6 linked regions of the Nothobranchius furzeri genome follow. Each later gene encodes a partner of the first gene's protein in a complex. Links are inferred from orthologs where the notes say so. Each region holds a gene or a part of one and is shown in the gene's direction. Other genes may lie near its edges. The genes, in order: thoc3, thoc7, thoc1, sarnp, thoc2 and chtopa.

The links.
Region 2: thoc3 (region 1) and thoc7 share a complex: the UniProt entries of both Homo sapiens proteins name them as parts of the transcription/export (TREX) complex. The link is inferred for Nothobranchius furzeri from reciprocal best matches to the Homo sapiens genes THOC3 and THOC7.
Region 3: thoc3 (region 1) and thoc1 share a complex: the UniProt entries of both Homo sapiens proteins name them as parts of the transcription/export (TREX) complex. The link is inferred for Nothobranchius furzeri from reciprocal best matches to the Homo sapiens genes THOC3 and THOC1.
Region 4: thoc3 (region 1) and sarnp share a complex: the UniProt entries of both Homo sapiens proteins name them as parts of the transcription/export (TREX) complex. The link is inferred for Nothobranchius furzeri from reciprocal best matches to the Homo sapiens genes THOC3 and SARNP.
Region 5: the proteins of thoc3 (region 1) and thoc2 are in contact, whole or in part, in a cryo-EM structure (PDB 7ZNL), measured with the Homo sapiens proteins. The link is inferred for Nothobranchius furzeri from reciprocal best matches to the Homo sapiens genes THOC3 and THOC2. Residues at the interface, in NP_115737.1 of Homo sapiens: Asp193, Met196, Ile208, Val217, Gln218, Asn221, Ala222, Pro224, Ser225, Ala244, Asp245, Ala246, Leu247, Ser249, Trp251, Asp252, Asp254, Glu255, Leu256, Val257, Cys258, Val259, Cys261, Ser263, Leu265, Asp266, Pro268; in NP_001075019.1 of Homo sapiens: Tyr395, Arg396, Pro401, Lys402, Gly403, Ala404, Lys405, Gly406, Ser407, Pro446, Ile447, Ala450, Arg454, Cys500, Asn501, Ala502, Cys503, Met504, Glu506, Pro563, Arg566, Gln567, Lys570, His573, Tyr603, Leu604, Thr605.
Region 6: thoc3 (region 1) and chtopa share a complex: the UniProt entries of both Homo sapiens proteins name them as parts of the transcription/export (TREX) complex. The link is inferred for Nothobranchius furzeri from reciprocal best matches to the Homo sapiens genes THOC3 and CHTOP.

Annotation. Positions count from the first base shown.
Region 1 is NC_091741.1:68,371,564-68,376,456, forward strand, and holds the start of thoc3 (THO complex subunit 3), read left to right. Parts: upstream 1-1,516; 5' UTR 1,517-1,591; coding exon 1,592-1,771; intron 1,772-2,636; coding exon 2,637-2,793; intron 2,794-4,021; coding exon 4,022-4,226; intron 4,227-4,893. UniProt on the Homo sapiens protein: Component of the THO subcomplex of the TREX complex which is thought to couple mRNA transcription, processing and nuclear export, and which specifically associates with spliced mRNA and not with unspliced pre-mRNA.
Region 2 is NC_091743.1:56,272,408-56,277,058, reverse strand, and holds thoc7 (THO complex subunit 7 homolog), read left to right. Parts: upstream 1-2,036; 5' UTR 2,037-2,123; coding exon 2,124-2,142; intron 2,143-2,349; coding exon 2,350-2,473; intron 2,474-2,577; coding exon 2,578-2,705; exon of another isoform or gene 2,706-3,004; coding exon 3,005-3,091; exon of another isoform or gene 3,092-3,209; coding exon 3,210-3,267; exon of another isoform or gene 3,268-3,345; coding exon 3,346-3,412; exon of another isoform or gene 3,413-3,504; coding exon 3,505-3,574; exon of another isoform or gene 3,575-3,646; coding exon 3,647-3,708; 3' UTR 3,709-3,812; downstream 3,813-4,651. UniProt on the Homo sapiens protein: Component of the THO subcomplex of the TREX complex which is thought to couple mRNA transcription, processing and nuclear export, and which specifically associates with spliced mRNA and not with unspliced pre-mRNA.
Region 3 is NC_091751.1:49,147,749-49,152,789, reverse strand, and holds the start of thoc1 (THO complex subunit 1), read left to right. Parts: upstream 1-2,032; 5' UTR 2,033-2,081; coding exon 2,082-2,129; intron 2,130-2,782; coding exon 2,783-2,856; intron 2,857-2,935; coding exon 2,936-2,996; intron 2,997-3,066; coding exon 3,067-3,136; intron 3,137-3,291; coding exon 3,292-3,410; intron 3,411-3,510; coding exon 3,511-3,559; intron 3,560-3,648; coding exon 3,649-3,744; intron 3,745-3,853; coding exon 3,854-3,936; intron 3,937-4,022; coding exon 4,023-4,096; intron 4,097-4,170; coding exon 4,171-4,279; intron 4,280-4,388; coding exon 4,389-4,523; intron 4,524-4,664; coding exon 4,665-4,765; intron 4,766-4,847; coding exon 4,848-4,914; intron 4,915-5,041. UniProt on the Homo sapiens protein: Component of the THO subcomplex of the TREX complex which is thought to couple mRNA transcription, processing and nuclear export, and which specifically associates with spliced mRNA and not with unspliced pre-mRNA.
Region 4 is NC_091755.1:36,676,616-36,681,014, forward strand, and holds the end of sarnp (SAP domain-containing ribonucleoprotein), read left to right. Parts: intron 1-83; coding exon 84-121; intron 122-241; coding exon 242-267; intron 268-352; coding exon 353-421; intron 422-2,684; coding exon 2,685-2,771; intron 2,772-2,867; coding exon 2,868-2,909; 3' UTR 2,910-3,363; downstream 3,364-4,399. UniProt on the Homo sapiens protein: Binds both single-stranded and double-stranded DNA with higher affinity for the single-stranded form. Specifically binds to scaffold/matrix attachment region DNA. Also binds single-stranded RNA. Enhances RNA unwinding activity of DDX39A.
Region 5 is NC_091750.1:48,346,710-48,351,553, forward strand, and holds the start of thoc2 (THO complex subunit 2), read left to right. Parts: upstream 1-1,454; 5' UTR 1,455-1,522; coding exon 1,523-1,587; intron 1,588-3,288; coding exon 3,289-3,344; intron 3,345-4,844. UniProt on the Homo sapiens protein: Component of the THO subcomplex of the TREX complex which is thought to couple mRNA transcription, processing and nuclear export, and which specifically associates with spliced mRNA and not with unspliced pre-mRNA.
Region 6 is NC_091751.1:23,238,234-23,242,789, reverse strand, and holds the end of chtopa (chromatin target of PRMT1a), read left to right. Parts: intron 1-2,238; coding exon 2,239-2,416; intron 2,417-2,487; coding exon 2,488-2,640; intron 2,641-2,726; coding exon 2,727-2,929; 3' UTR 2,930-3,364; downstream 3,365-4,556. UniProt on the Homo sapiens protein: Plays an important role in the ligand-dependent activation of estrogen receptor target genes. May play a role in the silencing of fetal globin genes.

The DNA of each region.
Region 1 (4,893 bases):
CCAGGGAATTTATTAAGCTTAGGGCGGAGATGGACCACATGTTCACTGGAGCAAAGTATTCGGCGGCTGTGGCATGGAGGTACAATAACATCTCATATTTTAAGTTTAGTTTTTTCTGCGAAAACACGAATGTAATAACCCATTGTCCTCTTTTCTATATCTTTTCTCTTCCTGTTTTTTTTTCTTACATGTTTGTTAAGACTATTCTGGAGAAAATGGGCATCCAGGGGAAGGTGACAGCGATGACCAGCTTCTGGAGCTGATCAGGGAGGACATGAGGCTGCAGAGCAGCAGAGGGCACAGGAGAGAAGAGAGAACTTTTACAGGCTTTTTACTTTGATAGAAAAAATGGTTAAGAAAGATTAAACATGTACATATAAAAGAAACATCTAAATAAAATCAGTTCTGTATTAAACACTTGAATTTTATTTTTGTTTACAAATGTGAATTGTTTAATATTAAAGGGTATCCGCTGGGTCTTGAAAAGTCTTAAAAGGTGATAAATCGGTTTTGGTCAAATTAAGACCCTTAAAAAGTATTAAAAACTATTATCACATCTTTGCTCAGGCTCAGCTTGTCGAAAGTATTTTCTCTGAATTAGCTCTCCAACAGTCAAGGAAATTATTAAAAAGCTAAATAAAATTTCGAGCTCCTTCCTTCTCCCTTCTGCTCAGCGGTTCCACGGTTGCTAGGCGACAGAATGTTCGTGAGGGAGTGGCTGGAATTCATGAAGTCTAGGCTTGTCCAAATTCACAGCCGTTAACATCCGGTCTACTCAGCCGACGGAGGACCCAGCCCAAGTCGGCCGAGTAGGCTGGGTCTTTCGAAGGATGCAGACCCTGAATTGAGACACAGCGGATGTGTGTGTCTAGTTGTCGTCTCCGCCCTTTTGGTCTGCCAGGCAACAGCATTTGTTGCATTTTTCATACATGAAGTGGGGGTGGAGGAGTCTGGCAGGGGGTGACTTGCTCTTTAAGAAAAACAACACCTAATTAATTACATTTTATTTTTCAAATTTTTAGGTCTTTAAGGCTTTTTAATCATAACCAATTAGAAAACTCTCAAGGCCCAGAATAAGCATAGATAAAAAGTCTGTTCTAATAGCCATCAGGTTTAAATAACTAAGATAATGTTATTACTGTTTATTGTTGTTTTGAGGGTCATTATATCAATGTTTCAAAGTGTTTTGTTCCGTACAATTTAAAGTAAAAAACAATCATCTGCCGAAATTAAGCATTCCAGTTTGAATACAGGAAAAACATTGGCCGTTTATCAGTACTCAGGTATGCTAGTATGTTCTTGTGTACTAGTCAAGTATGTTGTTGGCAAGGACACAAAAGTCTGTTCTACCGAGTACAGGAGGATGAGGACGTCAATTGGAACATAGCCGTACTCCGTTGTTTCCTCGCAACAAGCGCTGCTTCTTGCTATTGAAGGTGAGCTCAAGTCGCCATTGTTCTGCAGCCAGGTCCTCTTGGAATTACGACCCTGTTTGCTTTGCTTTCCATACATTCTAACTAAACACATCCGAGTCAACAGGCGTCGCTCGCGCGCTCTCCACTCAGCTTCAACATCGAGTTCTCAATCCAAGATGGCGTCTCAGTACTACCGGGAGATGCAGGACAACTTCAAAAACAACAATAAAAGTCGGGAGTTCCAGGCTCATTCAGCGAAAGTTCACTCGGTGGCCTGGAGCTGTGACGGCAGGAGACTGGCTTCCGGTTCGTTTGATAAAACTGCCAGCGTGTTTGTCCTGGAAAAGGACCGTTTGGTGAGTTCCGGTTGTTTCAATGATGTAGCGCGCCAGCAATGACGGCGCTCTGGGTCTTGGCGTGACCTGCTGGCTACCGTCATGGTGCGTTGGGTTGTGACTTGTGATTATTTTGTGGCTCAAAATAAGCCGGAGAGTCGCTTCGCAGTCGGATCTCCTGCGTTGCGGGGGACACTGGGCGACCCTATTGTGAGATTCGTTGAAGGGTGGACAGTCGCGATTCAGGTGTTGTTCTTGGAAGGAGGAGTTCTGTGGTTGCTACCCGGTAGCTGTCTCCGTGTTTTTTGGTAGGTAGACGTGTTCGAGACAGTGGATGATGTTCTTCTGCGGTTCCGCGCGCATTTTTCTGGGTGTAATGGGGGTTACTGTATTCAGTCTGGTCGTGTTGTTTAGTGTGTTTGTGGCAGCCTCTTGGGCGTCTAGCCTGCATCACCAAAGACAAAGCTAGCTGCTGTGTGTATTTGCTACGGCTAACATTAGAATTTTAACTGTTTTCCACACCGGTCTAATCCCATCATTAACAGTTACAACAGAGTAGATAACTGGTCGTTTAATAAACGGAATGGGTTTACTGAGTTAAGTCATTTTAATATGAAATGCCTCTTCGCTGTAAGAAACCAGGAGAATGAGATTCAGGCTGCATTAGAAGACTGTCACCCTTTGGCACATTGCCATTGAGTTAAATACAACTACTGATGACTTCTATAGCGTTTTTTTATATCCTGCTTAATGTGGCTAAATATGTTCAGGACAAAGTTATAAAACTAAACTTCATGCATAAAAGATGCAAGACTGAATCTGCATTTTAAACAAAACATTTTAACAAAGTAACTGAGTTTATTCAGTTAGATTTTTTTCCCACCAGGTGAAAGAAAACAACTACAGAGGACACAGTGATAGTGTGGATCAGCTGTGCTGGCATCCAACCAACCCTGACCTTTTTGTCACAGCATCTGGAGATAAAACCATTCGCATATGGGATGTACGCACCACTAAATGCATCGCCACAGTCAACACGAAAGGTAGGGTGATCACACCTGTTGGAGCTGAAATCTGACCCAGCAGTGCTTTGAACAGATAGACGGTCACATCTTCAACCAGCACTGGTCTGGGTTCTATATTTCTGCTGTTGCTTTTCCTCTCACTTTTGAACAGTTTAGGGTGAAGCTTACAGCTTTTTGTTTTTGTAGTTTGGGGGGGGGGGGGGGGGGGCAGTAATATTTATTAATGTGTTACAAAAGGATCCACAGACATCAGGACTAGTTTTCCCTGTAATTGTTGTTTTTTAACTACAAAGTTATTTTAAAGTACAAATGTACATCTTTTAACATGTAACTACATAATGAAAGGCGGCTGGGTAAATAATTGACTGGAACAATGCATTGTCTGATATTTTCTTATTTCCTCAGTAATCGTTTATCAACCCAGCTTGTGCAAACCCAACCAATCTCAACAGGTTTTTTGATCAGATGGAAGAAGAAAAAAACACGTCAAACAAAAATATTCTGTCTAGTATTAATTTCTGCAGATTTACACAAAACCCAAACATGCTGAGCTCTGGTTAAAAACTTAAACAGCTGCAACATTTAGGCCGTCTTATTGTTTTAAAGAAAAATATGAGGAGGAAAAGCTTTACTTGAACTAGTTTTAAAATACAGTTTGAGAAAATAGCTTGGAGCCAGAAACTGAAACCGAAAAAATTAAATGTTTTCCAGTTTATTTTGGGTGATGACATTTAGAGGCCGACTGATATATTAAACTTTTTCTATATCAGCCATCGGCCGAAATTATTTATAAAAGCTGATAAAAAAATACAATAAAATCAGGCCAACTGCCCCTATTACTAGGATGAAGATAGGACTCAAAGGACCCCAACACACCGTTTTTTAATGTTTTGAGTTTGTTTTATATTACAACTTCAATAAATAATTAAGAGATTCATTTACTTTATGCTGCACACAGTGAGTGTTCAGTTGTCTTTCACAATCAATGTGCTGCTAAAACATTTATATATTAGCTTTAATAATTGGCTTTAGATATCAGCCATTGGCAACAAAATCCTTTAAAAATCTGTATCAGCAACAGCCTTAAAAAACATGTCGGTCAGCCTCTCATTAAAGTACTTTGATACCATGGGTCGTCATTTGTACTAGAAATAGAGAAATTAAATGTTTTTGTCTTATTCTAGCAGTTGAAATTATGTTGTTCAAAAATAATGTGTTTTTTTTTTATTGTTTATTTTGACTTTAGGAGAGAACATCAACATCTGCTGGAGTCCCGACGGTCAGACCATTGCTGTTGGGAACAAAGACGATGTGGTGACTTTCATCGACGCCAAGACGCATCGCTCCAGGGCGGAGGAGCAGTTCAAGTTCGAGGTGAACGAGATCTCCTGGAACAACGACAATGACATGTTCTTCCTCACAAACGGCAGTGGCTGCATCAATATTCTGAGGTAGGATCCAAATGAAGTACCGTATTTTCACGACTATAGGGCGCACTGTGTTATAGGGCGCAGCTTCAGTTACGGGTGTCTTTTTGGTATTTAACACATACAAAAGGTGCACCGGGTTATAGGGTGCAGGCGCGGCACGTAAAACGTACCGGTAAAACATCTGTGCGGGCTCGGGACTCGAAACATATCAGTGCAAACCAGACATTGTGAAAATTATAAACAGCCAAAAGCATGCTTCACTTTACTGTTCTAGTCCTGGTTTAGACCTGGTTTAGAGCGCACGTGCACTTCCTCATTGCGTGCGCTGACGGCTCGTGCTCTTCTAATGGGCTCGACACACGGGAGGCAACTTCGCCTCTCCTCCACTCATTTTCAATGAGACATGCGCGACAAAGCGATAATCGCGGGTCTCCCTCCTACTAAAGCCGGGCGTACACCGGGAGTGCTGCAGGAGGCCACACAGGGATTTATGGGGTTGGATGAGGAAAACGAAATAAAGAAAGTAAATCTGTGTTTTGTGATCAGTTTAATTTGACATGAACACGACAAACACGCTTTCTTGACAATCTTTGTGAGTAAAAAAACGTGTAGAAATAAAACGAACAGCGTGTGTTATTAGGGAAATAGCGGGCGAGCGGTGTTGATGCATGGTTGCGCATGCGCCGTG
Region 2 (4,651 bases), on another chromosome or scaffold:
TGATAAGACTCTTTTTTCAGCTTGACAGCATCCCTAACCGCTGGTCTCCACCAGCCGGTTTGGGGGTTGTCACCACGACAGGCAACGACGATCCTGCGACCACAGCTCTGGTCAGCCGCCTCAACAATGGAGGCCCAGGGTCCATTCAGAATCAATGTCCCTCGCCTCCCCCGGAACATTTTGGAAGTTCTTTCGGAGGTGGGACTTAAAGCTCCTTCTGACAGGAGACTCCGCCAGACGTTCCCAGCAGACCCTCGCGATATGTTTGTGCCTGCCTGGTCTGACCGGCATCCTCCCCCACCATCTGAGCCAACTCACCACCAGGTAGTGGTCAGTTGACAGCTCCGCCCCTCTCTTCACCCGAGTGTCCAAGACATGAGGCCGCAGGTCAGATGAAACAACAACAAAGTCGATCATCGAGCTGCGGCCTAAGGTATACTGGTGCCAAGAGCACATATGGACACCTTTATGTCTGAACATGGTGTTCATCATGGACAATCCATGACTGGCACAGAAGTCCAATAACAAAACACCACTCAAATTTAGATCAGGGGGGCTGTTCCTCCCAACCACACCTCTCCAGTTCTCACTGTCATTGCCCATGTGAGCGTTAAAGTCCCCCAGCAGAATGAGGGAGTCACTGCAAAGAGCGCTTTCTAGCACCCTCTCCAAGGTCTCCAAAAAGGGTGGGTAGTCTGAACTGTAGTTTGGTGCATAAGCACAGACCACAGTCGGAACCCGTCCCCCCACACATAGGCGGAGGGAGGCTACCCTCTCATTCACTGGGGAAAACTCCAAAGTACAGGCACCAAGATGGGGGGCAACTAGTATGCGCACCCCTGCTCGGCGCCTCTCAGTGGGAGCAACTCCAGAGTGGTAGAAAGTCCAACCCCTCTCAAGGAAACTGGTTCCAGAGCCAGAGCCATGCGTTGAGGTGAGTCGAATATATCTAGTTGGAACCTCTCAACCTCACACACGAACTCAGGCTCCTTCCCCACCAGAGAGGTGACATTCCATGTGCCAAGAGCCAGCTTCTGTAGCCGAGGATCAGACCGTCAAGGTCCCCGCCCTCAACTACCACCCATCACACACTGCACCCGACCCCTTTGGCCCCTCCCACGAGTGGTGAGCCCATGGGAAGGGGGACCCACGTTTCCTCTTCGGGCTGTGCCCGGCCGGGCTCAGTGGGTGAAAGCCCAGCCACCAGGCACTCACCAATGTGCCCTACCTCCAGGCCTGGCTCCAGAGGGGGACCCCGGTGACCCACGTCCGGGTGAGGCAACACGTTTTCCATTTATATAATTCATCATACGAGGTCTTCGGGCTGCTCTTTGTCTGATCCCTCACCTAGGACCTGTTTGCCGTGGGTGACCCTACCAGAGGCAGAAAGCCTCAGACAACTTAGCTCCTAGGATCATTGAGGCACTCAAACCCCTCCACCACGCTAAGGTGGCAGCCCAGGGAGAGGCTATTTTCTAATCCTAATCTAATCCTATTTGATATGTGCCATATATTTCACATATATGTCTGTGAATTTTAAAGACACGTTTTGATGTCAAGAAAGTGCTTATTTTTGAACAGCTGCAAAAGTTTAGGGTTTTGTGTTAAAAGATGTGTACAATGCCTGTCCAGTATGGGAAGCTGGTGACTGGATGCTGAACCATCTTGCTAGACCAGCATTGTATGCTGATCTACCACTAAACCAGCACCAAACACAACATATGCTGTTTTTATGAGCAGGGCTTTGCTCATACATAATTGAGGCGTTTTTTTACACAGCAAAAAGTGATTACAGCATTCATTTTGCCTTTGAAAAATGTATTCTACCGTAATTCAATTTCATCACTTGATTGTGTAATTTGTAATTGATTGTGTGATAAAAAAACCTAGTGGTATTACTAAATTGCATTTAAACTAAATCTCTGTGTCACATAATCACTGTAATCACTGTATACTTAAAATCCACATTATTTAACGAAGATGAAGCGAAAAGATCACAACATGCAGTAACGTCCTCTTACCAGATAAGGCAGTAACGAGCTCAGCTGTGTCTGAGTTGCCTAAAGACAAAAGATCAATCAGTACCAGTAGAACGGAAGTAGTAGAAGAAGAAAAACAGCAACATGGGAGCTGTAACTGATGGTTTGTGGCTTTATCATTAACTAATTTCAGCACTTAAGTTACTCTTTACTTTTGTTTTCGTCTAAGTTTAAAACATTGTAAATTGCGCCTTATTATCTGGAAAAATACCCAGAAATGCTACCTGTAATAGCGACGTTAGCTAGCACACTTAGCATAGATGCATTATGTTTTCAACGCTCTTCAGCTGCTTTATTGCATGTTCCACAGATGAGGTGATTCGAAAACGTCTTCTCATTGACGGTGACGGAGCTGGAGATGACCGCCGAATCAATCTGCTGCTGAAGAGCTTCACCAAGTGGTGCAACTCACCTTCTGGGACCCTAGAAGAAGGGTACGAGCTAGCAATATATCTGTCTCCAGTTTTTGCTTGTAACATCTTGAATGCCGAGTACACAACTGCAGTGAAATGCTGAACATTGGGCTCTTTGTGTGTAGATTCACTCAGTACCAGAGGATGGTGGCTACTCTGGCTCAGTGTGAGTTTTCTATGGGAAAGACGTTGATGGTTTATGACATGAATCTTCGTGAAATGGAGAATTATGAGAAGATCTACGCAAACATAGGTAAGATCGGCTTTGTTTTCAATGTCACAGAATTTTTTGTTAATTCTTTTAGTCATACATGCCAAATGGCCTGTATTTTATAGAGCTTTCTAGTCCTGGAACCCCCCACGGCGTTTTACAACACAACACAATCAGACATTTACACACACATTCACACACTGGTGGTGATGAGCTACATCGTAGCTACAACTGAGCGGGGCTCGAACCTGCACCCTTCTGATTATGGGGCGAGCACTTAACTCCTGTGCCACCATCGCCCAATTAACACTAATCAAACTTTTTTCTTTCGCACCTCGCAGAACAAAACATCACATCTGCACATGAGAAGATCACAGAATGCAAAAAAGAAATTCTGCGTGCCAAGAGAATACGAAAAAATCGCCAGGGTAAGGACATTTTAACATCTGTTGTATTTACAGAAAAATTACCAGATGTGGTATCAAATGTGCGTTGTCAAAAGGATGTAAACTTTTTTTTAAGTATCTGTTCTCTGTCTCTCCAAAGAATATGATGCTTTAGCAAAGGTAATCCAGCAACACCCAGACAGACATGAAACACTCCAGTAAGTCAGCCTATCGATAAAACATGTCAAGCTCCCCTTCATGTTCAATAAAGTGCTCATTTTTGTTTTACCTTCCAGGCAGTTGGAGGCACTCGATAAAGAACTCCAGCAACTGTCTCACATCAAAGAGAACGTAGATGCAAAGGTAAACTCAAACACAGCGGCCTAATGTTGTTAAAGTATCAGATTTAGTTGTATTTTTACTGACTTTTTATGCCATGTTTGCATTCTCTTTAGTTGGAGTTGAGGAAGAAGCAGTTTCATGTTCTTCTTACTACCATTCAGGAGCTGCAGCAGACACTAGAAAGTAAGTAGCCACTTGGTTATACAGACAAACTGTTGTCAGAGCTGCCCTCATCGTCTATCCTGTCTTTCCTAGATGATGAAAAGTCAGATAGTGACGACCACAGTCAGGAGAGTCCCATGGAGAATGGGGATTGAACACATAAAGAGCCCAACTGAAGGAGTCACAGCTTTTAATTGAAATTTAGTTTGTCTAAGAATCCTTTTTTGTATGTATTTTTGAATAAAGCTGTCATCTTGGAGTATATCTTTAATTCTTATATTCTCTTTTCATTAAAATAATCTCAGTAAAAATGTAACCAAAGCTTCCAGGCTTTTAAGAAAATCAACTGAAACTCTGATCAGAAAAGAAATTTAATACGCGTCAGTCAAGGACAGAACAGTTGTTGAACATTCATATGTGCTGTATTTTCTCTGGAAGTTTCTGCACTATAAGTGAGAGTTTGAATACTTGTAAAATCTAAGTGTCATTAAACCCAATTATCATTTTTTTCATACTAAATTATCATTTTTTCATACCAAACTATCAAATAGTTTCTGATTTAAAGTTCACAAAATTACATTCTTCTGAGAATAAGACGTCTGTAACAAGAATTATGGTTTTGCTCATTTATTTAAAAATGAATGCCAAAATTTACTGATGTAGTAAATAAACCACAATGAAAGAAAGCCTCTGACTTCCTATGTGAATGATCACTATGTACTTTGTTGCAAACCCCTGTAAATTGTTTTAACCGAACCATAAAGTCTAGAACAACATCATGCATGCTACAACAGAAAAGGGATTTAAGGTCTAGAACTCTACCAGGTACGCTTGGGCCTGCAGGATGTGCTTTAGTCAACTCTGCAAAGCTGCTCGTTTACTGCCAATGTCAAAGTCCTCCTTCAGCAAGAGCTCCATGTTCTCCTTATCCTGGAGCATCTCTCTCTGCAGCTCAGTGGCAGACTCCTGCAGCATCTGGTAGCGGATCACCAGCGGGATCTGGTCTGCCAGGCGCATGCTAGCAATCTGCAGGAGGAAGGAGCAGTTAGGCTCACCCTGAGTTGAAGAAGGCTTTTTCTCTGATAATGTTAAAACATA
Region 3 (5,041 bases), on another chromosome or scaffold:
GAGAACGCCTCAGCTAGCAGAAGCTAACCATTAGCATTAGCAACTCTACAACACAGCAGAACTCCTACAGGATTGTGGAGATGAAACAATCAATGTTGCAGAGCAGAGTCAGTGGTAAGGTCATGTTGCTGTTAGCCAATCAGAGGAGAGATGTCCCAATATCAGGAAATAAGACTCACATTCCTGTCGTCTGAACCTACTTTCTCCTCTGGCTGAATTCTCTGAGCTGAAACAGGTGCACCGGAGCTTTTTTCCCCCAGAGTACAACTTACAAGGCATTTGTTCCTACAATAGACCACTGCAAATGTATTACAAACATGGGCGAAGGACCTCTTCAATCTTTGCTCCATGGCAGCTCAATCAAATATTTTTCCCTATTTCATTCCTTTTCTAGTCTGACCGTCTTATCTTTTCCACAAAGTTAGACTATATGGACCAGTGTCTTATCAAAACTATGTCAAAGGTTGTAGAAGTTACAGGCACGGACAGCGGGATGAGCGTGCCTCGCAAACATGGAACTAAGCCTCAGCATGCAACCTAAATATATTTGTTCATTTTACTTTTTGGTGCAATTGGAGGTATATTTTTGAAAACTCGTTGCATAAAAGCTGAACAAATTATCTAGGGAAGTTTAATTGAACAAAATAAATAAATTATTTAATTAATTAATTAAATCACCCATTTTAGGTAGAATGTAGAAGATTTCTCAATCTTCTTGCCCTAATCACAACCTCAAACCACGCACAAATCACTTTTAAGAGTGCCTCCCAGCACAATCTCCAAGTTTCTCATCGTGCTTACTCCCTTTCTGCTCTTCATCAGTTTTTGGCAACAATCTGATGAACTCTGAGTAAGATAAGGGATGGGAGAAAATAGGTATTAGTAAATCACTCCTCACTTCCCTTTTTCATGAACACTACAACCACACACGTGAAGGAAATAGAGCCTCTCCTGCTTCCATGTGACACTAAACGCCTCCACTTCACAAAGTCATTGTTCTTCTCTTAACATCAGCACAGCCACCAAAACACTGTCACAAAAAGGTTACAAACACCCATCAAAAGGAGCTGAAAAGGATCATCCTTGTATGTAAATCCTAGAGGTCTTGACCTGGATCAAAACAAGCTTCAGTGTTCTCACATGGGTTGAGTAAATCTTTAGTTTAATGATTGTTGTCTCAGGGTAATGGAGCGGTTATTCTAATGTCAAATCGGACATTGTTAGACAAGCAGATGGTATCAAAGGATTCAAGGCCTGCAGCACATAGCTGAATGTTCATTTGCATGATTAGAACATGTGGAAGTGCACACCAAGACAGGCACACATGCAAAACAAACACATTACAACTGCTGTGCATTGTGACCTGTCAAAGTCAAATATTTATTAACAAGAAAGGACAAAAATTATTTCGCTCTTTCCGTTAAAATAAATATAACTTTGAAATGCATACAATATAAACAGAGTGACGTTATTTTACAAGTATTCAATGGCTGACACAACTTATTATTATTATTATTATTATTGTTGTTGTTGTTGTTGTTGTAATTATTATTATAAAGAAAGTTTGGAACATGACTCTTTAAAATAAAAATCAAGTGTAAGATTTTTTTAAGTGAGTCCTGGCCAAAAGGCAAACTAAACCATACAGTGGGGAAATTAGGATTAAAATAAATATTAATACTGTTATTTTCAGGAAGTAGAAATACTAATTTTAACTCACCATTTGAAGAAGGTTTCCATGCATCCATCACTTACAGCCACTCAGAGTTTGATGAATGTAAGCAAATTAAAAAATAATGAAAAACTTTAACAGCAACAATGGTGTACAACACTGCCATCGTGTGGTCAAGATTGCTATGCTACGGTTTATTTCCATTTTTCATCCAAAATGGAAATAAAAATGTGACTGACTGAACTATTTGAAACTAAATTAAAAAATACAAAGTTAGTTTTATCCTAACTCCGTTTATAGATAATATGTATTAATGTATAATTTTGTCAGATAATTCCCTTTACGTACAAAAACGCCACTTCATAACCGGAAGTGATTCGTTGGCGGTTCCGGTTTCAGAAGCGTAAAGATGTCTCTGTCCTCATTTAATTTTGTCGACGCTAAAGAGAAATTTTCGGTGAGAAGTGGCTTCTTTCTGTCATTTCCATCCATAATATATTTGTATGTAAGACAACTTGTTGATAAAACCGTAAAAAATCTTAACTTCACTACTTTATGGTTGTGCTTGTTGTACTAGTGTAGTAGTTAGCCAAAGAAGCTAAGCTAAAGTAAACGCTTCTGAACGGTCCTGTTGTTTACGAGGTTGAAGTTAGCTTCCGATTTGGAAATTGGCTAAAGAGCATTTGCACTCAATTTTATTTACTATGACCATCTTTAATCTGCTCTATTTAAAAAAACTACAATGCCTAGACAGTTCAAACCGGGACTGGAATATTCTAGACTAATAGCAGATTCCATAAAGCATAGTTTGTGATTTGTGAAACCTTTTTCAGATTTGTGAAACTTAAAATAGGCAGATTTTGAAGTTTCACAAATCACAAACTGTTTTATGGAATTTGCTATTAGTCTAGAATAATCCCGTCCAGGTTTGAACTGTCTAGGTATTGTAGTTTTTAAGATGAAGCAGATTAAAGATGGTCACCGTATATAAAAATTGAGAGTGGCCTTGGCCTTAGCCATTTCCCGAATCGGAAGCTTGAAAACGGAAGCAAACTTCTGCATCGTCTTTTGTTTCTCATTATGTCCTTTCCCATGCTCACCCAACCGTAGGCTGCAAGCACACAAGCACTAGCTGGTAAAACCTGCAAACCCCTAATCGCCGTGTTTAACCAACTCCCCGGCAAGTAAGTTGTGCTCCTGGGTCGAGGTTCCAGATCAAAATAATCCAGAAATACAAATTTACTACTTGTGTGTTTTTGTCAGTGAGACGGAAAAGAAGACCACACTGGATCAGGCTTTGAGGAGTGTTCTTGGTGACCAGATTGTAAGTTTAATAAGTTAGTTAATTTAAATTTGAAAATATGTGAGAATCGCTAATGATTGTTTCTCTCTAGCTTGAGCAGAAATCATGCTGTGATGACTATCTGTCTCTAATCTACCAGAGCATCAATGCTGTTACTGAGGGTATGTTATCACTACTGCTGAGGTGGATATTTATTTTAGATTAGATGATTTTGGATTTTAAACATACATGTTGAAAGGATCGCTTTGATATAAGTTTTGGTAAAACGTCTCTTAAAACAAATGACAGTGTAACATTTATTCTGTTTTTAATGCAGGTATCTGTTCTGCTACGACTCCTTTTGTCCTGCTGGGAGACGTTCTGGATTGCCTTCCCCTTGACTTGTGTGACAAAATATTCTCTTTTGTTGAAGAAAATGTCTCTACCTGGAAATCGGTATAATTACAGGCATTTTTTTTTGTAAAGGCAACAAAAATATTTCTCTGTTTTTGTTAGAAGGTTTCATTATTGTACCTGTGTTGTTTCTTTCTTCCAGAGCTCTTTTTACACAGCAGGAAAGAACTATTTGTTGAGAATGTGTAACGGTAAAAATCTTGTCTTTTTCTCTGTCATCCAAAAGACTTTCTATTCTCAGAAAGTTCAGGTGCAAGTGACTTTTGTTTCATCTGTACAGATCTTTTAAGGAGGCTGTCGAAATCCCAGAATACAGTATTCTGTGGGAGAATCCAGCTTTTCCTGGCACGTCTCTTTCCTCTGTCTGAAAAATCCGGTAAGAAAGTCAGTTATTTTTCTAACTTGAAGGGGAAAAAAATCAAAGCACTTTACAATCATATTGTAAACCTCTCAATTAAATAGATTTTGTGTGTGTTTTAATCCAGGTCTCAATCTACAAAGCCAGTTTAATCTGGACAACATAACCGTGTTCAATAAAAATGAACAAGAAAGCACTCTTGGTCAGAAGGTGAAGTATTGTTAGGTTAATTATTAGGTTAATGAGCTCATCCTTTCCATCCTGTTTCATCTGTTTTTTTGCTACTATGTTGACAGCACGCTGATGAAAAGGAAGACGGCATGGAAGTGGAGGAAGGAGAAATGGGGGAGGATGACGCCCCGGCACCGTGGTGAATGAAAACCATTTGCTGTATTTGCTCACATTTTCACCTTCATGAAATAATAGTACCCTTTTGTTCCTTAGTTCTATTCCGATTGACTACAACCTGTACAGAAAGTTCTGGACATTGCAGGACTACTTTAGAAATCCGTTGCAGTGCTATGAAAAAATCTCATGGATTACTTTTGTTAAGGTAATCCACCTCGGTGCAGCAACTCTGACCAATTTGACGGATCACTGTCAATATCCAAGATGAGGATAAAAAAATAAATAAACTTGTGTGTTGCTTTTGCTTTGCTCAGTACTCCGATGAGACTCTTGCTGTGTTCAAAAGCTACAAACTGGATGACATGCAGGCGTCAAAGAGGAAGTTGGAGGAGCTGCGAGCGTCTGATGGTGAACAGGTTTACTTTGCCAAGTTTCTCACGAGCGAAAAGGTGCAGAAAAATCATTAAAAATCTTTTAATCATGTATAAATAAGCAGTTTTTAACTGACTATGGCTGTAAGTCATATGTTTTTCTGTCTTAAAAGTTAAACTTCATTGTTTTGGGATTTTTTTTTTTTTTGTAATCTGCAGCTGATGGACTTGCAGCTCAGCGACAGCAACTTCCGGAGACACATACTGGTGCAGTACCTGATCCTGTTCCAGTACTTGAAGGGTCAGGTCAAATTCAAAAGGTGAACATTTGTGCAACTAAACAAATATCACTTGTTGGGATGGAATTAGTTCATGTTTATGCTTTTTGATTTCTTGACACAGCTCAAGCTGTGCTCTGAATGATGACCAGACTACATGGATTGAGGAGACGACTAAGCTGGTGTTTCAGGTCAGTTCAGACACGTAGGACCAGAAATCAGGAGAAAACGTGTCTGTTGCGAAAAAAATCTGTCCGTTCTTCTTCTGAGGTTTTGTGACAATTTCCATTTACATCACAGTTTTTTTATACCTCATAA
Region 4 (4,399 bases), on another chromosome or scaffold:
CCACTGCAGCGGGCATGTGTCATAACTCTTTATTAAATGTTATATTTATATTAATATGGATCTGATCTGCCTTGTGTGTGCAGGTTTGGTTTACCTACTGATGCTACCAGTCCCTCTCCAGGTACTGACCCGGCTGTGTTCATAAATGCTAGAAGCAGAGTTAATAACCAGTAAAAGAATAACGTGATCCTGCTGTAGGTGATGAGGTTTGCTGATGTTTTCTCTCCCTGCACTCCTACAGGGGCTGTTGCCAACAGTAAAGCTGCAGTAAGTCCTGACGAGCAGATGGATCTTTAGATCCCCGGCTGGTGGAGTCCTGATGGGTTTAACGATTAATTTATGTCCTCTTTAGGTGAACCTCGATCAGCTGAAGAAGAGAGCAGAAAGATTCGGCATGAACGTTTCATCTGTTTCACAAAAGGTTGGTGAGCCGCGCTGCTTTAGTGTTGCTCTACACCTGAGCTGGATCTCCATCGGTCTGGGGTTTGGTTTGTTGTCTGGTCTCTTCAGAAACACGTCAGCTGTTTGTCTTTTGATCTTGAGGTAGATCAAACGAATGTAGTTGCTTGGCCACCTTAAATGCCTGGTTCACTGAGAAAACGTGAAGTGTTTGTTTTTAAATACGGTCACTCACTTCACATGCAGGCTGAATAGAAAAAATGTTCTTCAGCCCGCATCGCCTGCATTAGCCGCAGACGGGGAAACAATCGGGTCAGAAAAGGACGTTCTCTTCTAGGTCACTGGGAAAATTAGCATTCATGGCCCCGCCTACCTTGGCTTGGAACCAGGGAGGGATTCTTATTTTTATGTGATTATTTTGCAGCCAGGAGAGAGAGCAGAGCACTTTTTGACTAAAGCTAACCATTAGCATTCGTAACTCTACAACATGGCAGAACACGTTCAGGCTTTTGTTATTTGTAAAGATAAAACATAAACGTTGCATTTTTTACCCAAGAAAGAAGAGCAAACAAATGCATCAGAAGGGTTGTGTTGCTCATGCAGGGGACTGTTCTGTTCTGGTCCTGCTGGACCTGACTGCAGCCTTTGACACTGTTGACCATCACCGGCTACTGGAGAGGCTGAGAGACTGGGGAGGCCTATCAGGATCTGCTCTGGAGTGGTTCTCCTCTTATCTCTCTGAGCGCTCCTTCTCTGTGGCCGTCTCCCAAGTTTAGGTCCTCCACCACCTCTCTTACTCATGGTGTCCCACAAGGTTTTGTGCTGGGGCCTTTACTCTTCCTCCTCTATCTACTTCCTCTTCAGCACATCCTGAGCTCCTTCAAAGGAATCTCCTACCATCTTTATGCAGATGGCATCCAACTGTACATCTCCTTTAAGCCCCGTGAGATGTCTAAGCTGCAGCTGTTACACACCTGCTTAGACTCTATCAAAGCCTGGATGGCTGGGAGCTTTCTTCAGCTGAATGAAGATAAGACTGAGATCCTCATCTGTGCCCCAGACAAGCTGGATCCCAAAGTCAGAGACTCTCTTGGTCAGCTTGCTTCCCACACCAAACCTTCTGTCAGGAATCTTGGCGTGACCTTTGACCCAGCTCTCACCCTGGATTCTCATGTCAGTTCTCTTGTTCGCTCTTCCTTCTTCCATCTCAGGAACGTTGCTAAGCTGAGTCCCATTCTGTCCCGCTCTGAACTTGAGACAGTTCTCCACACCTTCATCTCCTCACGCTTAGACTACTGTAACTCTCTTTTCACGTGTCTGAGCAGAACCTCCCTGAACCGTCTACAGGTGGTTCAGAACGCCTGTGCTCGGCTTCTGACCAAGTCCTCCAAACACACCCACATGACGAGCCGGCTCCCGTCGTTCACTTCTTAGAGCCGGTTCATTGGCGACCGACACATCACTAAAGCTGATAAATCTCAAAGTACGTGACAGGCGTGGTCGAAACACACATCGTTAGTTTTCATTTAAATTGCAGGACAACGTGTGATCCAGGGCTTAAGGCAAAGCGGATTAGAAAATAACGTTTTTAGCTCCTTTGACTTGCGTTCATTTTTTCGTTCTTTCGGGGACCCGTGAGCCGACCAGAACTTAGACTCCCTATCATGAATTCAACGAGTAAGACTTCAAATCCTGACAGAACCCTGGAACAGCTCATCTGGAAGGTACTGAAAGTGTCCAGAATAAAGCTGCTGAGAGGGTTTAGGTGCTTCCTGGACATGCCTTGTACGGACCGTAGACCTGCTAGACATCTTCCTTTTAACATCATGTTATATAAAATAAATTCAGATTACCACTTTTGTTGGAAAATAATCAAATTCATCTGCATTCAGGACAGAAACGACAGATTTACTGTAACAAACGTTTCTGCCTCTGATTTATTTGTGTGATAATTAACATTTGGGGCGTTGCAGCTACTTGATTCTCTTTCACTGTTGTAGATCTGCTGCTGATTTATGACCCAGTCAGCTGTCGGCTATGGTTGTAAAAAAGATCTGTGATTGGTAAAGAAAAAAAAACAACTTAAACACAAAGTTTGAAGATATCTGTTCCATTAGCTGTAATAGTTGCTGCACCAGAGTACTGGAGGGTCTGTTTAATGATGGGGTGGAAGCTGTTTTTGTTCTCTTCCTGTTAAATGTGAACCATTTTAATAAATAATGTTTTGACACGTTATGATGGATAAGAACGCTATAATGGAACGTTATAATAAGTTTGTTTTTCAGGTTGTAGAGGATGAAAAGCTGATGAAGAGGAAGGAGAGATTTGGGATCCTAACGGGAATGTCGGCTGTTGGAGCAGGAGATGTGGAGGTGATGTTTATTGTTTGATTAGTAGTCAAAACAAGAGTAAATATATAAAAGTGCTGATTAAAATCTCTCATTCTGTCTTTTTTTTTCTCTCTGCAGGCAAAAAAAATGAAGCGTGCTGAAAGATTTGGAAAAGTGTAAACGGTGTTTTGTTTTTTGAAGTTGTGTTCCAGGCTGTGCAGCGTAGATTTCTGAGGAATAAATGATTTGTTGGGTTGTTTCAAACCAAAAGTACACTTAAATACAAAGTTCGATGCGACGGACACTCCCAGCGTCTCAGTCGTGTCCTACGTCTCTGGATCTATGAACGAAAGCAGGTTCTCTGTCTGGTTGCTCATTTGTTTTTATCTTAATTGAAATTTGAGGAGCAGCGTTTGATTTGGATTAAAAGAAAATCTGTTTTAGTTTTATTTAGGTATTTCCAATATTAAAGCCATAGTGAGTTAACTGCAGAATAACCGATCTCTTGCTAACCCACCTGTGACTGTTCGGTACTTAGCTGTACTTTTGGTTCACCGGCTGCTTGTACTTCAGCTTATCTGTTCCATTTTCTAACACTTTGTGATTTAAAATAAATTTTCAATTTTTTGACAAATCTGTTTAGTTTTGCACAAGATTTACGCTCTCACACACCGCTGCAACACACTTCCCCCCAAATTCCACTACCTCCGCTCCGCCACGAACTCTGCAGCAAAATCGGTCCCGTTGTAGTCAATCAGAGCAATTCCACTACTGCGGCCGTGCTCCGGCAGTGCGCCGCCCTCTGTTCCGGCAAAAATAGAATCGATCCTATTTTTGCCGGACGCCGGAACACAACGGACAGGAATCACAACGGCCCAACAGGAAAAGGAGCAAGCACAACTTCCGTTTTTCACAATAAATCGATAAACAAAAGGCGTTTTTTGTTTCATATGCACGGGTTTAACAACTTTTAACAACTATCAATGGCGGCTGAACTTTAAATGCACAAAAGTAAGCCATAAATACAGTTTCCACTATCAAAGTAGTCACACTTTGTTGATCCAAACACTGCTAATCTCTCAACACAAGTGATGGGCAGATTAAACAGTTCATTTCGATGCTTCTCCCACACGACGGGTGTTTGGATCTAACTTCCGCGTTTATTGCTCGGACTGTATCGCAAGATCTCGAAAATCCCGCGCATGCCTGTTTGCGCACCTCAGGTCTCCGCACCGAAGGGGAGCCGTTGTAGAGCGGGTACCAGTTTAAATCATAGACTGTAATTTTTAAATTCAGTTCGGAAGCGAGCGGCTGCGGAAGGCGGGGGCGGGGCGGAGGTAGTGGAATTTGGGGGTTCATCTGCAGTGCATGTTTCTGTGGACCATTATGGCGTGTACAGTACACTTACTGTGGGTTCAAATCAGCTTCGACTCCAGATACACCAATTCACTCACCAAGTTCAGTGCTGGTTTCGCTGCACTCTGTGGTTCATGTAGCCATTTAATAGGGGTTGACCTCTGACCTTGAAACAGGTTACTTAGTTTGTTTTGACCACCTTCTCTAATCTTTGTAGAATTGTCATTTGTTTGTCCAGCCATCGACTCGGAGCTCCCACTCACAAACACTCCCACTAGCAGCTTCTGTGGGGTTTGATTCGGTGGTCAGATTGA
Region 5 (4,844 bases), on another chromosome or scaffold:
CATCTAAAAATATTTTATTGTTGGAAGCATTTACAATGCCATACATAAAACTCTGTCTCTAGTATATTGCTCTTTGTATATTAAAATAGTAACACAACCATACCATGTTCACATTTTTATTTAAAAAAAATGGTTTGAAAATGGTTAATTAAGTTGTTTTTTCAGTTTTGCATAGGATTTATATGAAAATGTTTCCCCACTGATTCATGTTCGATTCCAAACTCATTTGGTTATCTGTGTCTCAGAATTGTTCATTATAAAATATTAAGCGTGTAATATATTATGAATGGGTGATTATTTTATAAGTTGAGTAAAAAGCTGAATGTTACCTTAACATTAACCCACTAATTTGAAAGTATGCATCCACTGTAGCTTGTTTTTGTTGGATTGTTGTAATTTTTATTAGAATTTCTTTTGTGTACTGCCTTAGTTGGCTAATAATTCAGACTATAGAAGGTGATGTTCATGTTGTAGCTATAACAGAACCCTAATTTTCTCCAAATGTCACTGTAAAGAAAATCCCAACATGGTCATAAACGTTACTACAGTACTGTAAAGTATTCTTGTACGGCAAATTAGACTAATTATGCATCTTAGATGCCTGCAAATGTTTACTCAAGTCACTTTGGATCTTTGTTTTCACCAAACTGCTGAAAACGTGCATACATCTGTGTTTATACATATTTTAAAATTTTTTTGTGTTTCTCTTCTATTTACAAAGTGCCCATTGCATCCTTGAAGATTTGTATTTATGTCTGAAGATGTAACATAACCAAATAAACCCTCTGAAGCTTGTGACTTTGACAGGTAGAAAAATGTTGTCATTTAAAAACACACTTTCACATCTTGTAAAATGCCAAATGCTAGTAACACATTCATTTTCCCCTCTTGCTTGCAGAAGTAGTAGTTTTTGTAGAAAACGCTTCAAATTGACCTTTTTAAACTTTAAGCATAAAACAATAATGACTGGCAATAGTAAACCATTTAGGAAACTCGTGTGGACACAGCTCTGAACAATCCCAACGAGTAGCACCGAGCTAGCAACAGCGGCAGCTAACATCACATTTGAACCTGTGTGCCATCACAACGATGAACCACACTTTAGGTGTTGTGCCGAAAAAAGCACCCCTGCTGTAGAAAGCATGGCCGTAGCAAGAAACGTAGAAAACCACTTCATTCACTAACTTTACTTGAGGTCAGCAGTGATGAACTGGCTCCTGGTTTTCACTGCTGTTATGAAAAACATTTTTATTTTGAAAATAACTGCGATATACACGTAAAAGAGTGTTTCGTGGTAGTTATTTTTCTGACCAGGAGATTTTAAAGCCTTTTATAAAAATAGCAAAATAAATAACGTAAGTTAACTGTTCTGTTAATCGCAGAAAAACAACACTAACCCGTTTGTGACTTCTTATAAATGTATTTGTGATTGAAACTGATTGTGATGTTTTTCCCTTGTTTGGGTCCTTTTCACGATACGGGTGAATTTTTTTGGCACAACACCAGGCAGAGTATATTGAAGATGGCGTCTTTTACCCTCCCTGGTGAATGGATCAAAAACTGGGAAAAATTGGGAAAACACGAGTTGTAAGTAGATTTTATGTTGTGCTTAGTTTGTTTAGGGGTTGCAGCAACATAAAAACAATAAGCTTACTTTAAAATCATGGCTAGCACAAAGTAACGTTAGCGAACAGCTCAAGAGGCTTATCACTGTCGAGTAAACAAAAATAAAAAATGTTACTAGGCGTGTAATTAGTCAAACGCATATTACAAAATTCGTAACATTTAACATTAACTGGCTTGTTATTATCTATCTACATATTAATGGTCTGGCTAGATTTGTAAACACGGTGGCTATCGAAGCTAAGCTAGTAAAAAATCTATCTGTTATTTGGATCTTTTTCAGCTACAAACTTGATAAAACTTCGTATTAACGCTCAGGTACCATGCAATAGCAAACCCACGAGTGGTTTGAAAACAATAAAATAGTTTTATGTTTTATAACTTTGACCCAATCATGTGGAGGGAAACAACGGATCGTAACAGCTAGTTAGCCGTAATGTTAGCCGCAGATTTTTTTTGGGTGAAGCGACGTGTTAAATGTTCTGTATTTGGACTGGACGTGGGAATGAAAAGATGCAATGTTTGATGATCGGATTTTATCAAACTTTGTATTTCTGATCGATTAAACGTCTGCGTTAGCGTCGGAGACTGAGTAAAGACCAGGCCAACATCTGGGCCTCAATAATAAAGTTTGACCTGTGATATTACCTAAAAAAAAACCGTGAATAGTGTTTGAATGTGTTTTATTAAGCAGAAGCATTAAGCATATCCAGTCACACCGTAAGCTGATCCACACATTCCTGGCTGCTAGTTACTATAGGCCTTGCATCGAGACAGGCCTAGAAGCACTAGACCTACCAAACTACTATGATGGTTGTGTCTGTCAAAGTCAAAGTCAGTTTTATTGTCAATTCTACCACATGTGCAAGACTTACAGAGAAATTAAATTGAGTTATACAGAGAAATGAAATTGAGTAGCTTCTGGTTAATAATATATAGTTAAGGCGATTGAATAAAACAGATTGATATTAATTTGGTCAGATGTAATATCACATTGTTCTGGTGATCATCTGTAAGACAAGACCAACATTTTTGGACTCAAGCAAAACTGGTTTAAAGGAACCAAAGAATCAACAAGCTGGCATAGAAACTACATATCACTAAGTTACTTTGTTTTGTTTTGTTAAATGTATTATAATGGAGACTTTATTTTGTTCAGTCATTCTTCACCCAGTGTAATAGTGTTTGCTATGATTCATTTTGAAATAAAACATCACATTTATCTTTGTTAAAAGTGTTTGAAAGAAAAATACAATTACCCACTCACCAATTTATATGGAAAGCTGATATTTGACTTGTTATTACAACATTTAAAAATGCTTTCACATCAAGTTACAGTCAATCTAGAGCAACATCAAATAACTACATAAGAAACCTCTGTGTACACAGGTTTATACTGCTTAGCTGAATTACACATATGCCCAAAACCTAAGCACTTCTATTTTTCATTCACCTTTCTTGACTGAATATATATTATTAGAGGTTGGCGGTGTATTAAAGGCAGAAACTAAAGGATTTTTTGTTATATTAAACAGATCTCTGTGTGTTTGTGTAGTCTTCCTTTTTAGAAGTTTATTTATTAGGCTGCAAAACAGCTTTTTATTGCCATATATAAGGTAACAGACATAGTAACTATATTTTTGTCTCTTTTTTTTTACTTTGTAGTGTACAACTCTGCAAAAAGCTCACAGAGAAAAGTGAACATGGAAGTGAAATCAAAGGTAAGCAGAGCTTGATTTTTGTGTGAAAACGTAGAAACATTACGTAGAACCAACACACCACTTCATAGACAAGCTGTGGTAAAAGTTTCCCTCTTATAAACCAACATAACTAAAAATTAAAATTTATTTTGACACCCTTCTTCCCAGGGGTAGGCACTTTGTAACAGTTTTTACTTAGCTGCTTGGTGTTCATTCCAATGACTTAAAAAAAAAGAATTAACCATCTGTGATGTCACCTATATTTTTCTTAAGGGCTTGTTTGAAACAAAATGGGCAGTTCCCACACTGCCATCTTGGCCGTTTAACTTGTTTTGTCACCACCACCAAATGCAAAAAAAAAAAAAAAAACATGGGCAAAGAGCTGGAGCTGAGTGTGTAGCTGTGAGGGTGGGAGCAAATAATTGACACCCATCAATCTCTGAACCGATATAGCTATGAGCTAACTGAGCTAACATGAAGCTAGGAGTTAACCGTTGACTGTTAAAATTAGGGTTGTCACGGTATGAAAATTTAACCTCACGGTTATTGTGACCAAAATTATCACGGTTTTTGGTATTATCGCGGTATTTTTTAAACGGTGTTGCATATGTTCAGAAAGCATTGATAGTCCTGTTCTACACAAACTGAAATAGTTCTGAAAAGGTTTAACAGTGTTTATTAAACCTAAAATAACACAAAGCCTTAGCAAAAGTGCAACTTTTCACAAGTAAAGAACAAATAGCTTATTTTTCTGGAACATGTTACAGTAGTCAGTGCAGGTTTAAATTATACAAATCCAAACATTCGAAACATAAACAATATGTCAACAAATCAAATAAACACCACTTGTTTTCTCATATACTTGTTTTCTTCATTATCAAAATGAAAATCTAAAACTCCAGTCCACACTTGACTTGAGCACTGTACAAGTCAACCTTAAAAAAAATATGTATTTAAAATAAATAGCAACTTTAAACAAATTACTAAAATAACTACTACACTATGTAATCAAATCCAAATGTTCAAGTATAAATGGCATTGAATAAGTAAACAAATCAATGACAAGGAACTAATTGTATATTTCTCTTCATCATCAACAAATAAGATGCTTCATCCAGCAACAGGGTGTCCGTGACACGGTTTAAATGCTGGCAGAGGGCGCTGCGGCTGCAGTCTATAGTGACTCGTTGCATTCTCCCTCAACCAAAAGACCTCACGTCATGCATTTAAGCTAAAATGCTAATGTTAACTTACCTTGCACTGGCTGTAGAGACGTGGGTGATGGTCACGCAGATGTGCCATTAGATTCGAAGTGTTGCTGCCTTCTGCAGACACTTGTTTCCTGCACGTTCTGCAAACGGGATAGCAGTCTTCTATTAACTGTCCCTCAGCGTTTTTCAGAAATCCAAAATATGCCCATACTTCCAATTTAGTCTTCTTTGAGGGCTGATGGATGTCCTGGGCGCTGCCGTCTCCTCCTTCGGCCATTATTTCAGCTTCAAAGTTTTGGTGCCGTTGCAA
Region 6 (4,556 bases), on another chromosome or scaffold:
CTGCGCATCTTTTCACTCCTCCAGTCACGGGAGAATTAAACGTTCATATTTTTAGAGTTTTTTCGCGAGGTGTTCTTCAAGCTTCTTCGTGTCTGCCGCTAGTTATCCTCGGCTCTCTTTGCAATGGCGGCGCTGTAAACAACAGCGGCGTCCTGACCAATCACAGGCTTGCGTAATCCGTCTCGTTCGACGGATGTTTAAAAAAGTGGGCTCGACTCCGTACGGACTTGCGTGCCTGCCGGATCCCTACGCAAGGACGGATAATGGCGTTGCGTGTCTCCGCACTGACGCAGACGGAGAAGCATAAATCAGGCTTAAAGCTGTGTTCAGTAGGGAAAAGGGCACAAGTTAGCAAAGGTCTGATGGGTTCTCAAGTCAGAAAGATTCTGTTCTGGTTTTATCAGTGAATTATCATTGAAACCAAACCCAAGCCTGACAGAAGATGCATTTGCTGTTTGGGAAGTACAGTCCTGATCAAAAGTTTAAGACCATTTGAAAATGGCCAAACGTCGTGTTTGTTTGGTTGGTCATTAACAAGGTCCCAAGTAGAGCTTCAATGTGCAACAAAAAAGAAATGGGAGTGAGACAACGATCAAATCGAAACGAGCTGCTTTATAGCTGATAAAAGGTTTAAAGAACAAGTTCACTGAGAAACCATTTTTATGTGTTATTTTTTTAAATGATTGGTCACTCTGAGTTTCACATGCAGGCTGAATATGTGAATAGTCTTCTACCCCTTTTTCCTGCATTAGCCGATAGAAAACAGACGAGGAAATTCTCAGGTTAGCAAAGCCAGTCAGATCTACCTCACAGTAAGTTAACATTCATGGACTCGGCCATCTTGGCTCAAGATGGGGAAGGCAGTTGTTGGTTTAGCATTCAGGAGAGACTAGAGCTTGCCTTGGCTAATAGAAGCTAACTGTTAGCATTAGCTGCTACTCTATACAGTAGAACTCATTCATTTATGGAGGTAAAACATCAATGATGCAAATCAAACAAGGTTAGTGGTAGAGTTGTGTTGCTGTTAGCCAATCAGGGGTGAGATGTCCAAATAGTCTTGTTGTACCCTTAAGCCGGGCGGACACTGTGCGACTTTTTCACTCGTAGCACTCAGCTTCAGCTCAAACTGTACGACTTCCTCACAGAGCAGATCTCACGAGTCGTGCGCTCACACTGCACGACCCAGTTCTCGGATGCGATCTGACTGCTCACGCTGTACGTCTGGTAGCAACACGTCGGCCCTAAAAATGTGCTAAAAATAGCAGTTTTTACACAACACGTCAGACTTTTTTGTCTTGTTTTGCCTGTTGTCCTTCGGGAGTGCTGCAGGGGGACACACAGGGATTTATGGGGGTTGGATGAGGAAAACAAAATAAAGAAAGTAAATCTGTGTTTTGTGATCAGTTTAATTTGACATGAACACGACAAACACGCTTTCTTGACAACCTTTGTGAGTAAAAAAAGTGTAGAAAATAAAAACGAACAACGTGTGTTATTAGGGAAATAGCGGGCGAGCGGTGTTGATGCATGCATGTGCCGTGAGCGGTTCTGGTACTTTTTGGGTCGCAGCTGCTCGCAGCGCCGCTTCAACAGTGCGATACCCTCACGAGGGACGAGCAAAATATTAAACACGCCAGAAGTCTGTGCGAGCTCACGATTGCTGATCGGTAGCTGGTCACGTGGTGTTAATCGCCTCTCGTAGCCCCCTGTACACGACGCTCAGCGCAAAACTCGCCCCGATCTCGTGGATTCTCGCACGAGTGGAAAATCGGCTCAAAAAAGTGAAAAAGTCGCACAGTGTACACCCGGCTTAACCTGAGCTTTCCACTGGATGCATAAGTGACGCGGTTCCTCACGAGCTCAGCGGTGCATATCGTCTCACCGGGAGATTTTCTGACATGAAGCGGCAGTGAATGTGTCACAGCTGGACCCACAACGTTACAAAATCACAGGAAAACGCTAGATCAAGCATGATTTCAGCGGTTCACGTGATAACAAGCATGGAGAAAGATGGTAACGGTATCCTAGCAGGTCTGTGGTGTACTTACTGTTTACCTCAGTCACAGAGGTTTTACAGGTAAATATAATAGAAGCTAAGTGCTACGTACTACGCTTTGTGGACATTTTGTGACGCTCGCGCGTCTGATGGAAAGCTGGGATAACAAGCTGGACCTACTCTTGCTTCGCTTTATTTGTGTTCCTGATTTGTTGCTGTGACCGATCCTTCTGAACCACCAGAGCCTAAAGCAACGTCTGGGGAAAGGCAACATCCAGGCCCGGCTGGGCCGGCCCATTGGGCCTCTGATGCGGGGTGGACCTCCTGGAGGAAGAGGAGGCATGCGGGGGATGACCAGAGGAGGCCTCAGAGGGGGTTTGAGAGGAGGGATCATTCGTGGGGGTCTGTCTTCTCTGAGGGGTAGGTGTCCGTCAGCGTGGAGATGGTAGGGGTGTTTCCTCTCAGCTGAGCAATCACATTGTGTTAAACAGCCAGGCGAATGCCTACAGGTGGACCTATGAGAGGTCGGGGGGGCATCGGACGCTTCCCCATGCGTAGAGGAGGTCGGCATCGTGGAGGAGTGGCAGGAAGAGGAGGAGTTCTGTCTCGAGGAGGAGGTCGAGGTGGAATGCCCAGAGGCCGGGGTAGAGTTTGTATTTATTAGTACAATCGTTTGATGACTCGTGTCTTTTTTTTTTTCACTGTCTCACTGATGATGTTCTGTCTTCAGGCCGTGGTGGACTTCGTGGACGTGGGGGATTTGCTGGTCGTGGGGGCCGCGGCCGTGGGCGGGGCAGAGGACTTGGCCGGCCCACCGTTACAAGGGAACAACTGGACAATCAGTTGGATGCGTACATGTCAAAGACCAAGGGACACTTGGATGCAGAACTGGATGCCTACATGGCCCAGGCAGATCCCGACAGCATGGAGTGACGGCCCAGCGAGACCAGAGCTGAAGACTGGGGCGTAGCGTCAAGTGGTGTTGCTGCACCCTGTTGTTTAGCCGTGCATCCACCTGCTGCTGAAGAGCCAATCAGCTGATGAATAAACTCAAGGGGACTTTGACCCTGATGTCCACGGACTTCCTGTATGAAGTTTTAGTCAAACAGGTGTTTGGTGTAAACTGTTTAGTTTTTCTTAGTTTTTCCTCAAACCTCCAGAGTTTCTTTGGCTCATCTTAAACTTGCAGTGGAAACGTTTTTTAAAATGATAATTTTACAAGAATTTTAAGACGAGTCATTTTCTCTTATATTTGACAGGGAAAGAAGTGCTCAGGCTTTGGGTTGTTTGTATTCCGTGAAGCTGACAAGATGTTTGTTTTAAAATTATTTCCCAAGTTGTGTTAAGGAAATAAAATGATGAATGAGATATTTTCTGATTCATGTCAAACATTTAAGGCCTGTAGGTGTTCTGGAGCATGTAGAAAAGCAGATGTCCTGGTGTGATCTTAGCTTTTGTTCTGCGATTGGTGCCCACAGGGACATGGTTTCCATGGCTGTGTCTCACTGGGAAAACGTCACCAGTTAGAAGGTTGGACGTTCAAACCTAAGACCTACAAACTTCTCTATACTACATCCTGTGAACCATGTGTGTGTGCGCACATACCTAAAGGATTATTAGGAACACCTGTTTAACTTAATGCAATTATCTAATCAACCAATCCCATGGCAGTTGCTTCAGTGCATTTAGGGGTGTGGTCCTGGTCAAGATAATCTCCTGAACTCTTAACTGAAGGTCAGAATAGGAAAGAAAAGTGGTTTAAGCAATTCTGAGCGTGGCATGGTTTTTGGTGCCAGACGGGTCGGTCTGAGTATTTCACAATCTGCTCAGTTACTGGGATTTTCACCCACAACCATTTCTAGGGTTTACAAAGAATGGTGTGAAAAGGGAAAAACATCCAGTAATCGGCAGTCCTGTGGGCGATAATGCCTTGTTAATGCTAGAGGTCAGAGGAGAATGGGCCGACTGATTCAAGCTGATCGAAGAGCATCTTAGGTGTGTTCTTGCTGTGCGTTATTTCTAATTCCATGTTGTTGTTCTTTTATAAAACACAGAAATTGTTTTGTTACCTGTTATTGATGCTACAGTTTCGCCGACTGCTGCCGGCTTCTTCAGGTCAGCCTGACATGTAGCGTCAATAACAGGTAACAAAACCATTTCTGTGTTTTATAAAAACAACAACATGGCATGATAGAAGAGCAACTTTGACTGAAATAACCACTCGTTACAACTGAGGAATGCAGTAAAGCATTTGTGAAGCCACAACACGCACAAACTTGAGGCGGGCTACAACAGCAGAAGACCCCACCGGGTACCACTCACCTCCACTACAAATAGGAAAAATAAGCTACAATTTACACCAGCTCACCAACATTGGACAGTTGAAGACTGGAAAAATGTTGCGTGGACTGATGAGTCTCGATTTCTGTTGAGACATTCAAACGGTAAGAGTCAGAATTTGGCGTAAACAGAATGAGAACATGGATCCATCATGCCTTGTTACCACTGTGCAGGCTGCTGGTGGTGGTGTAATGGTGTGAGGGATGTTTTCCTGGCACAC